Drosophila melanogaster: one gene and its partners. The protein of the gene in region 2 interacts with the protein of the main gene of each other region in a pairwise test. Each region holds a gene or a part of one and is shown on either strand. Other genes may lie near its edges. The genes, in order: Grip128, Mzt1 and Grip91.

What was found.
Region 1: the proteins of Mzt1 (region 2) and Grip128 interact in a two-hybrid assay, tested with the Drosophila melanogaster proteins (one study listed by BioGRID).
Region 3: the proteins of Mzt1 (region 2) and Grip91 interact in a two-hybrid assay, tested with the Drosophila melanogaster proteins (one study listed by BioGRID).

Annotation. Positions count from the first base shown.
Region 1 is NC_004354.4:15,470,209-15,473,969, forward strand, and holds the start of Grip128 (Grip128), read right to left. Parts: upstream 1,912-3,761; 5' UTR 1,832-1,911; coding exon 1,712-1,831; intron 1,657-1,711; coding exon 1,168-1,656; intron 1,059-1,167; coding exon 441-1,058; intron 381-440; coding exon 1-380. Other genes in the region: Alg14 (ALG14, UDP-N-acetylglucosaminyltransferase subunit), read left to right, coding at 2,035-2,610; mh (maternal haploid), read right to left, coding at 2,686-3,761.
Region 2 is NT_037436.4:2,387,424-2,390,285, reverse strand, and holds Mzt1 (mitotic spindle organizing protein 1), read right to left. Parts: upstream 1,022-2,862; 5' UTR 951-1,021; coding exon 702-950; 3' UTR 636-701; downstream 1-635. Other genes in the region: CG32298 (uncharacterized protein), read left to right, coding at 1-12; CG32299 (uncharacterized protein), read left to right, coding at 101-385, 446-565; Svil (supervillin), read right to left, coding at 1,505-1,519.
Region 3 is NC_004354.4:13,742,948-13,746,708, reverse strand, and holds the start of Grip91 (Gamma-tubulin ring protein 91), read left to right. Parts: upstream 1-2,025; 5' UTR 2,026-2,310; coding exon 2,311-2,425; intron 2,426-2,974; coding exon 2,975-3,761.

The DNA of each region.
Region 1 (3,761 bases), on a different chromosome or scaffold from region 2:
TGCGGCACCTGCAGCAAGGTGTGCTTATACAGTCTGGATAGCAAGTAGGCACTGCGTATGTGCGCAGGTCCCTTATCCAGGATGACATCTTCGGCCAGCTCTCGCAGTAAGCGCAGCTGGCTAAAATGTTCCCTGAACTCAATCGTAAAACGGATCAGTGTATTTTTCGCTGGATCCTTATTGACACGATCCTCGTAAGCGATGAGGAGCTGGCAAATGGGCTGGACAAGATCTCTCAGGCCGTATGCAAAGAACTCCACGGTGTATGTTGTCTTTACGCCATGAAAATGCAACGTATGAGTATCGATGATGTGACGCAGTTCCATCATGTCCTCCAGCGCAGGCACCACATCAAATAACAGAAAATTTTGCATTGTGCTCTACAAAAAAAAAAGCCGGACTAAAGATAGAGTTACACATTAACGATTCGACTTTCTTACCGCAGTCACCGTACAAATACTGACATTGTCACGCACAGTAATGCGTCGCGTGGCCTTGTCGAATTCAAAGAAACAACAGCTCGCTGGACGCACAAACATGAAGAGGATCTCCCTTAGCAGACAGGGCTCCGTGATGGTTTTCGGCACTGGCAGGGCCAACAAGCCTCGGGCATTGTGATTCAGAAACTGCACGTAGCTGACGGCAAAGTTGTCCAGTGGCTTAGCACTGGAGGGCAGGGCGTTTAAATGGACATCTTGGCACCACCAGTGGGAATGGATTTTACGGAAGAGCGTATCTGTGTTGCCACTTTGCCAATATTGGGTGAATGGTCGGGGCGGTTGGGGTGGCGGCAACTGGAGCAGCTTGCTTCGTCTCAGATGGCTGCCCTTTAAGTTGTTGAGGCTTAGAACAGTTGGTTTCATTATCCGAAAGTCGTAACTCCGGATCACGCTCTGCTCGGGCGGCATATACGTTTTGTTAACACTTCCAGTCGGAACGACTGCCATCATGGCCTGCTCGTACACCCTGGCCATTTCCAAGAGGCTTCGCGAGACGCCAATATTTTCATCGGGCTTCAGAGTAGTTGTCGAGTCGCAGTCCGACTCCTCCGACCAGTCCTTTTGGAAAGAAGGTAAAGGTATTAGTATGCTGCAAATGATTTTATGGAAAGAACAGGCTACATATGTGTAGCAGATGACATATGTTTGGGGTTCTCTAGATGCTCACACTTAAGCTGTCCGAGCTGTCATCCTCTGGCGGATCCAGAAAATCCTCGGACAGCAGCGCTGCCCAGTCCACCTCCGTTTCGGAGGTATTCTTGGCTGCCTCCAGTTTCGCCTGTTCCTCTATCTGTGCCTGTCGCTCGGCTTCCTCCATGCTATTAATTATGGACAGACGGCGCTGTTCCATGAACTCGCGGTTCAGCCGGATCTTTTGCACCGGCCTATCGGCTATGCGAAACAGCAATTCGAGCATTTGCCATCCGGGGTTAGGATTGAATTGCTGTTGATTTTCGTCCATAGCCAAATACCTGATGGCCAAGTCCTTGATGCTCTCACCAAAAGACGCCATGCCCTCCGCCCGAAAACGCTCTGCCAGATCGTCCAGGTTGCGTTTCACCTCCATGTCCGTCGTTGTAGGAGCCCATGTCCTGCGTTGGTTGGCGATTATCTTCAATGCCGTATCCTCCATCTGGCGCAACTTTTTCTGGCTCGTCTGCGTTTTAAGTTGGTTAAATTGGAATAGGGATAACATCTGTTTTAAAACATACCCCCGGTTCCGACAGGCTCCTGACCAGTTTTCGCACGTTCTCGTTTATGGCGGAGTTGACTGCCGTCGAGGTCTTGCCGGAGCGCTTCCGTAGGTTACCCTTCTGGGCGGGAGGAGCCATTTCGCTCCGCTTTCTGATTGAGATCCAATAAATTCTATAAATGGCGCCCTCAGCAATGACAACAACGTAAATGGTACACCGGCATAATTATCGGTTCAGTTATCGATAGCAATGGAAACAGCTGTTCGTGGATGATCGACAATCGACTTGAAACGTAAACAATTGTAAATGTTGTCATTTAAATTGAGTTTTCGAAGGGCAATATGACGACCAGCTCGCCTCACCCCACCTACGTAATACTGGGCTCTGGCGGCCACACGGCGGAGATGTGCCGGCTGACCCAGGCGCTGCTGCAACAGACAGACATCGAACAGACGGAGAAGTACCAGCCAATTAGACTGATCCTGGCCAACAGTGACTCTACCTCCGAGCGCCAGTTCAGGCAGGTCCTGCCGCAGGCTGCCCAGAGGGCGGAATTCGTGAAGGTGCCGCGCAGCCGCGACGTGGGCCAATCCTGGCTAAGCAGCATCTTCACCAGCCTGTGGGCGCTTCTCTGGAGCTGCTATCTGGTCTGGCGTGATCGCCCCCAACTGATCCTCTGCAATGGACCCGGCACCTGTGTGCCCTTCTGCTATGCCGCCTATCTGTGGCGCCTCCTCGGACGCCTGCCCTCGCACTCCAGAATAGTGTTCGTGGAGAGCTTCTGCCGCGTGGAGACGCTGTCGCTGAGCGGACGCCTGCTCCTTCCGCTGGCGGACCTCTTTGTGGTCCACTGGCCGGCGTTGGCCACGCGCTATTTGGATAAAAAGAATGTGCGATATTTTGGGCGAATCCTGTAACATGTTTTTAATAACATTAAAGTTAACATTAGTTTCTATTTAACGAATTATGTTTTGTATGAGATGTTTTTTGTCCTAGCGCTTCTTGCGACCAGCGCAGACGGATCCATGGACCTTCAGGTGTAGAGGCATGATCTCCAGGCCACATCTGGGGCAGCCTACGGTCTCTTTGAAGAGGTTGCGCTGGCGGCGCTGACGCGGAGTAAGTTCGTCCTCGCTAGACGGCAGAGTAGACGAGTCGGTAGAGGAGCTCAGGTTGAGCTTGTCGATCTCCCCTTCTGTGTAACCGGAGCTGCGAAGAATTCCTTTTGATGACTTTGCTTTCGATTTAGCGCGGCGTGATGTGGAAGCTCCCGACGAGTCCTTTGAGGTTAAGGAAGCAGTTGTTCGGCGGTTTTTAGGCTTAAACGATGGCGGTTCCAAGCGCACCATAATGGCGCAGCCATCGAAGTGATTGGACAACTCAGTGCGCCTCATTTTCTCAAAGCAAATGGGACAAGATACGATGTCGTTCTCAATTCTTTTGGCGTAGCTTGAGCAACTGGGCTGCACGTCGTTCTCACGCTGGAACTCCTTCAGCAGGGTGTCCTCTCCAAAAATATCATCTATAATGGATTGGTCAGCTAGCTCCGTGGCGGCTGTTAAAGATTCATTTGCGGCCACCTCATCGTCGTATTCATCATCAATTAAGAGGATATCGTCCTCACACAAGGTCAACTCATCCTCCATTACCTGGCGCTTGATGATCTGCGTGCGCTCCTGACTGGTCATGGTTTTTCTGCCAGCTGGCATCTTCATCTCCTCTTCATCACTAGAGCTTTCGACCAAGTTGACGATGGGCGTATGAACATCCCTGACCATTACGTCATCATCGTAGGACTCCCAGTTGATTATCTCGCTGTCGCTGGAAACACGACGCCTCTTTTTCTTATTCTGTCGCTTGTTGGAAGCATCTTCGCTAAAACGCTGAAGTCGAATTTGACGAAGTTTAGCGGAATCGGGAACATCAGTGTCACTAAGATCTATGTGTTCTATAGCGCTAGAGCCACCAAGACTGTAGCCCTGTCCGCTCATTTCAGTGGTGGCTTTCGAACCTGATTTGTCCAGTTCATTGAATCCGCCGCTTTTGTTGCCTTTTGTGCCAGCAGCTG
Region 2 (2,862 bases):
GACTCCTCTTAGTTCAGGTAAGCCTTGATATATGTTTCTGTCCAAACTTTACACACACACACAATACACAACTTTCGGTCGAAAATTAAACCTTTCCAAGATGGGCATCCAAAATTATTACGGCAATCTGAAGGAGAAGTTCTCGACGAGGCTTAAGCGAAAGGAGGAGGAACCAGCCAAGGCAATAGCCCACCCACCTCGGATGCATAATCTTGGCGAGGAGATACGTTTACTGGTGCATTCGCAATCCTTTGAAAAGGCCTACAGTACTGCAGCACCATTTCTTTTCGCCAGTTTGGGGGCGTGGCCGGGCTATTGGCTGTTCAGAGGAATGGATTACCATGTTCATCGATCGCACATTCCATTGCCCATCTATATAAGACAGGTGAGTCGTTTGTTGCTTCGGTTTGCTATAAGCTTTTATCTAAACACATTATCATCTTAGACCTACTATCAAGCCAAAGTGGTGCAACTTTTCATTATCATGGCCGGCACATATACCGTTTTCAGAAACGCCAGTCGCTTGCGTTTGATGAATGCAAATAGAGTGGCGAAGTCTTCTTGAAAGCCTTCAAAAATCATGCAATTGGATGTCCAAGAACCAGCGTCTTACAAATTTCGGAAACAGACCATCGGAAAGTTGAACTTTTAATTTAACAAACACAAAATATAAACACAAAAATATATTTTATATTCATTTCCTACAAAGTTGAGTCTGTTGATGCAGCCGATTCTCCGGAATCATCACTTTCCTTATCTTCATCATCTTGAATCTCCTCTCTAATGGTTCGAATTACATGTGCTAGTGCTCCACCACAGACACCATTGTCCACCAGTTCGATGCAGATTTTAAGGGCTTCCTTGCTGAGACCAGAGTCCACTACATCCGATAAGGTTTGCAGGATAGTGAAGCGATCGTCGGATTTATGTTGTGTCGGTTGTTCTGACATACTTATTCCACAAATTTTGATATAAACTCGGAATAAATCTCTAAATAATTTAGGGCAATGCTGACAGATAACTCAAAAGCAATCGATTGAATGTATATCATTTACAAATGATTAATGGTTATGTCAAAATATTTGAGTTCCCTTCATAATCTCAGGCCTGCACATTTGTTCTGCTAACCCGAACCCCGATGCCTAACCGTAATCCATTACCAGCTGTAAATCGTAACACCGTTTCAAGTTCAAAGTTCAGTAATGAGGCACCTGCTCCAGTGAACCCCCCCCCATTTGCTCGACATCCGATCTGCCCGCTGCCAAGTGGAAAGATAAATTAGCTACAAATTAAACAAATTATATACGCCAGAGATGCGTGCCTCTCACAGTCATTTCAAACGGAGGGGAGAATTGTAAATGCTGAAAATCTCAGCTGGCGGACAATTAAAAAACGCTTAAATGAAGATCTTTTTCAGTCGGCAAGTGCAGTGCCGCCAGCATGTGATAAGTAAGAGCAAACACTTAATCGTGAGAGGGGGATCCATTGTATCGCTTGGCCTCACCTGTATGAGATACATTTTCCGCTTTTTTTTTCGACGCTCCACGCAACGAATGCTAATTATGCAGCATCTGATGTTGTGATGATGAAGTGGTTACTGTCTTGCTCTACTTGGAATGCAGCCTCACTTTGTATATATGTTTTATGGGTCTGGTGCAATTGCGATCAATTGGAAACCGAAAAGAAGACAATCTCGGGATTTTTTCACTTAATGAAAATCAATTGAAAAACGTTTTCGCTGCGAAAATGTAGAACTTCACTTGGTAGCGAAGCAATTTGCAGCTTTAACTGAGGCGTTCAAACTAAAACAGTTGGCCGTGTCTTATTGTACAGTTTTATATAGTCGGGCTATATAAACGCAATTAGTCAGCAGCACGTAAACACAAACTTAATGCTTGTCTTGTGGTAGTTATTATTCGACCGATCGAAGGGGGTAGTACATAAACTTTTCAGAGGGTGTTTCCCAGCTTAACACACTTTGCTTGCTATGGCAATAGGTTTGCAAATGCCTTTACAAGGTGTTCACACCGCACAAAATCGATCAAACAAATAATTTCAAACACGATTGGCCAGCTCAATGTATGGGAACTTGAGCGGTCTATTGGTATTTCGAGGTTTCTCTTCGCTGTTTGTTTATACTTTATTTATTTACACAAATATGTACAGTTCGTGGATTTAGGTTTAGTGCGTGGTTTAGTGCATATTTTAGTGTATTTATCATTTGAATATTATTTTAAATTATTATTCGTTAACGCGTTTGAATGACCATCGTGTCTGTGAGTTGAGCGCGAACTGAATTGAAATTCCGCTGGGCTGTAGCTGCAAAGCAGCTTGTGGATTGTATCTTATGGATTCCATGCAACCTCATCATGAGGTTCGCTTCGAACATGTTTGGAAATATCTTTGATAACCAACGGATCAAACAGGTTGCGGACGATTGGGAATGTTCGAATATGTTCCCAAGATTCCCCGGGGCTGCACTTGAAATCGCTTCGACATTTCTTGATGTCACAACTTCGGAATTTGGATTATTCTGGGGATGGAGGCGCCCACTAGGAATTTAGTTAATTTGTTGATTATTCCGAGCACCATGGATGGGGCAGAAATTGGGCTTAATGAATGCTAAATGGTTTTAATGGGTGAAAAGACTAAGGGATGAATAGCATGGGGCGAACATACGTGAGTTGGTCATGGGATAGAAGTGGATCATTCGTACTTTTATGATAGTAAATAAAACTAAATATATAGTGTCAGGCACCCTTTGGAAAACCAAGATTGGCTAGCCAAACCTAAAACCTCATAACTATTCATCTCTCCACACCCAGGCGCATATCTCAGCTTGTGGAACGCATTGCAACAGGT
Region 3 (3,761 bases), on a different chromosome or scaffold from region 2:
TGACAACTAGAGGAGCAACAAGAGAGAAGCAAACATTAAACAAAAACAAAAAAAAAAACACCAAATTACAAAAAAAAAAAACGAAAATTCATACGAACGCAAAGAATAAATACACCATTTATAAGAAACAAAAGACGATATGAAGAATTTGTCGCAAACTTGATAAAAAGAACTTATCCTCAGAATCCAGATAAGGACACAAACGAAAAACAAAAACAAGCAAAAAAAAAAAACCACAAAAAAACAAACAATCAATCGGAATTTGATCTCCGTTTAAACTATATTCATTATTATACTACATAAACACCTACAACGTATATCTTACCTACATGTAACTACCAGCGTAATTCGAAAGTATATTTTAAATATTTGTTAAAAAAGGAGATATGAGTGAAACGATCACAAAAAAAAGAAAAAGAAAGAAGAATCCAGCCAAAAGTATGCGGGGAACCACGAGCAGGAGCAACAGGAACAGAGATGGGTCGCTTTTTGTGGCTAGGATCTCACATAAAGGATGCGAGTGGGCGTACTTAGCACGACCGTCATTATGCCACATGAAATCAAAGCATATTATTTACATGAAACTGTTATAGGCACTCGTACACACACACTCACACACACCTCTTGGGTTGATTGAATTGATTGAATAACTTGTATTTGGAACGAACCAATGATGATGATTTATGCTATCAACGCAATCAAAACTCTGATGATTACACAAAACAAATTCCATTGACTTGAAATTGAGAAAAACATTTATAATATTCCTATGCGCATCGAAAACATGATTTTCCTTAATTTTTTTGTAACTTTGTGTGTCAGAAGACTAACATAATTAAGCTTAATTTTACTTTATACGTATATTTACCCACGGATTCATCTTATTCTGCTTGCTTTTTTTTTTTTTTGATTGAATAAAAGCTGCATTTTATATGATAAGAAAAAGACTTTGTTTTCGCCGCACTTATATTTTAAAATGTTCACACTTCATGAAGAAACAAAATTCGACATATTCTTAAAAATGCGCGCCCACACATCTATATATATTTAATATATATATCTACATATATATATATATAAACTAATGTGTTAAAAGCAGAAAATATACATCAAAAATAAAAATTAAAAACATATTTTAATGCGTTTTCAATGGGCAAATTCGTTTATTTAGTTGGAAATAATTTAGGATCGGGCCAACATTTATTTTGCTTTTTTTTCGTTACAGAAATCTCCGGATATTAAATGCAATTACGTATAGAAGTGAGTAAGGTAAACCGGATGAGAGTTTAACTATGTTCTAAATTAAATACCGGAGGTTTCTGTTTCAATACACATTATATACATTATATATTATTTCACATATTATTTCGCGTTCAAATCTGGTGGCGAAGAATCCTTCTTGGTCACCGGTTCACTCGGTGGTTCCAGCTTGATTTCTGGGGCTCAGGATTAGCCCACATATTGCTAGGTAGTTGGGTTGGCTGCTCCAGGTACTGCTCCACCGCATCCAGCTGCTGATGGCCCATTGCGACGAAGGAAAGTCCTTGTCCATTGGAATTCCAAGACATCCTTGCAGCACCTTAAGCTTTAACTCCCCCAGCAGTAGGTATCAAACACGACTTGTAGCCAATTACAGCCGTTGGTGTGCTCCATGGCGAAACGCAGTTGGTCAGTCTCATCTATGTCTTCAGCCTTTATATTAAATATTAACAATTTTAAAGTTTACCATTTTTGCTTACAAGCAATTGCAAATGCAAAACGGACAGTGTGACCAGGCGAGTGAGAGTTGGAAACGTTTGCGGCCCCAGAGCTGTCAGATGTTTGCAATGGAATTAACATAAAAGCTGAAAGCTGCACTTCTAAACATAACTGTTATACAAAAATGCTACATTCAGTAACATTCCGACAGAAATACATTTTTATAGTAAAATGTAGAACGATAATCAAAATGGCATAGCCTATTGCAGACGAGCGCTGCCAGATCGCTGCACCTTCGGCCAGTGTGTGCCCGCCAGCGGCTAGGACTTTGCCTTGTCAAGTTTCCCAGATTCGGTAACACTGCACTAAATAATTTTAATAAATTATTTGTATGAAGTACGCGCCAATTGGATGCGTTTTTGTCCTATCTGTCGAAGATTTCACGCATCCCGAACAATTGCCAGTGACTGCACGCCGTATTATAGCCAGGGAACAGCTGTGCGTTTGCCATTGGCCAACAGTTGTTGTCCACTTCGCAATTACCAAGCCATCCAAAATCGGCTGTTTAACGCGCGCTTGATTGGATATTTATGAACAATTCAGTGCACCAGGATGTCGCAGGACAGGATCGCCGGCATCGATGTGGCAACCAATTCCACTGATATATCGAATATCATTAACGAGATGATCATCTGCATCAAGGGCAAGCAGATGCCCGAAGTTCACGGTGAGATTTGGGAATGTGCAATCACTCACTGGCTGTCCAGGCACGCAAGGCATACGGACTGCTCTGGCATTCCGGGAAGAAGGCCTCCACCCTTGGGAATCGACCACGTGCTTCAGGATTATAGTTAATCCCAGAAACTCAACATATTTCATGGCATTTTCAAACAGAGAGTCCTTGAGATATGCAACTAACAATACATATACTTATATTTTTATAGTTCTAGATTAAATGTAGCAATAACCATTGCCAAAGTGTGTTGCATAGTCGTAAATGTTCAAAATTAATGTATATATCCCACAAACAATTCAAAGTATTCAAAGATATTTATCCGAAAGTAGATAGTTTTGAATTGTTTTTAAATGACTATTGATCACATATACTTAACTATAAAAGTATGAGCAAGTTTCTTAGATCCTCAAGGTCCTCAATACGTACAATTTCCAAATCAATGAATCTAAGGATACGTAATGCAACACATACACTAGACACTATACATAATTGTAGGCTTCATTGCCCTTGTTTTAATGCACTTTGTTCAATCTTTTGCAGAAAAAGCAATGGATCATTTAAGCAAAATGATTGCCGCCAATAGTCGGGTCATTCGGGACTCAAATATGTTGACTGAGCGCGAATGTGTCCAGAAGATAATGAAACTGCTGAGCGCCCGGAATAAGAAGGAGGAGGGCAAAACTGTGTCGGATCACTTCAATGAGCTGTACAGGAAACTCACGTTGACCAAGTGCGATCCGCACATGAGGCACTCGCTAATGACCCATCTACTTACGATGACCGACAATTCGGATGCCGAAAAGGCAGTTGCCAGCGAAGATCCACGTACTCAGTGCGATAATCTCACTCAGATTCTGGTCAGTCGTCTTAACTCAATAAGTTCCTCCATAGCCAGTCTGAATGAGATGGGAGTGGTCAACGGAAATGGAGTAGGAGCAGCAGCGGTAACAGGAGCAGCAGCGGTAACAGGAGCAGCAGCGGTAACAGGAGCAGCAGCGGTAACAGGAGCAGCAGCAAGCCACAGTTATGATGCCACACAGTCCAGCATCGGATTGAGAAAACAGTCCTTGCCCAACTACCTGGATGCAACAAAGATGTTGCCCGAGTCTCGACATGATATAGTGATGAGTGCCATTTACTCCTTCACCGGCGTTCAAGGGAAGTATTTGAAGAAGGATGTGGTAACGGGCCGTTTCAAGCTGGATCAGCAGAACATCAAGTTCCTGACCACCGGCCAAGCGGGCATGTTGCTGCGGCTCTCCGAACTTGGCTACTACCACGATCGAGTGGTCAAGTTTTCGGATGTATCGACCGGTTTCAATGCCAT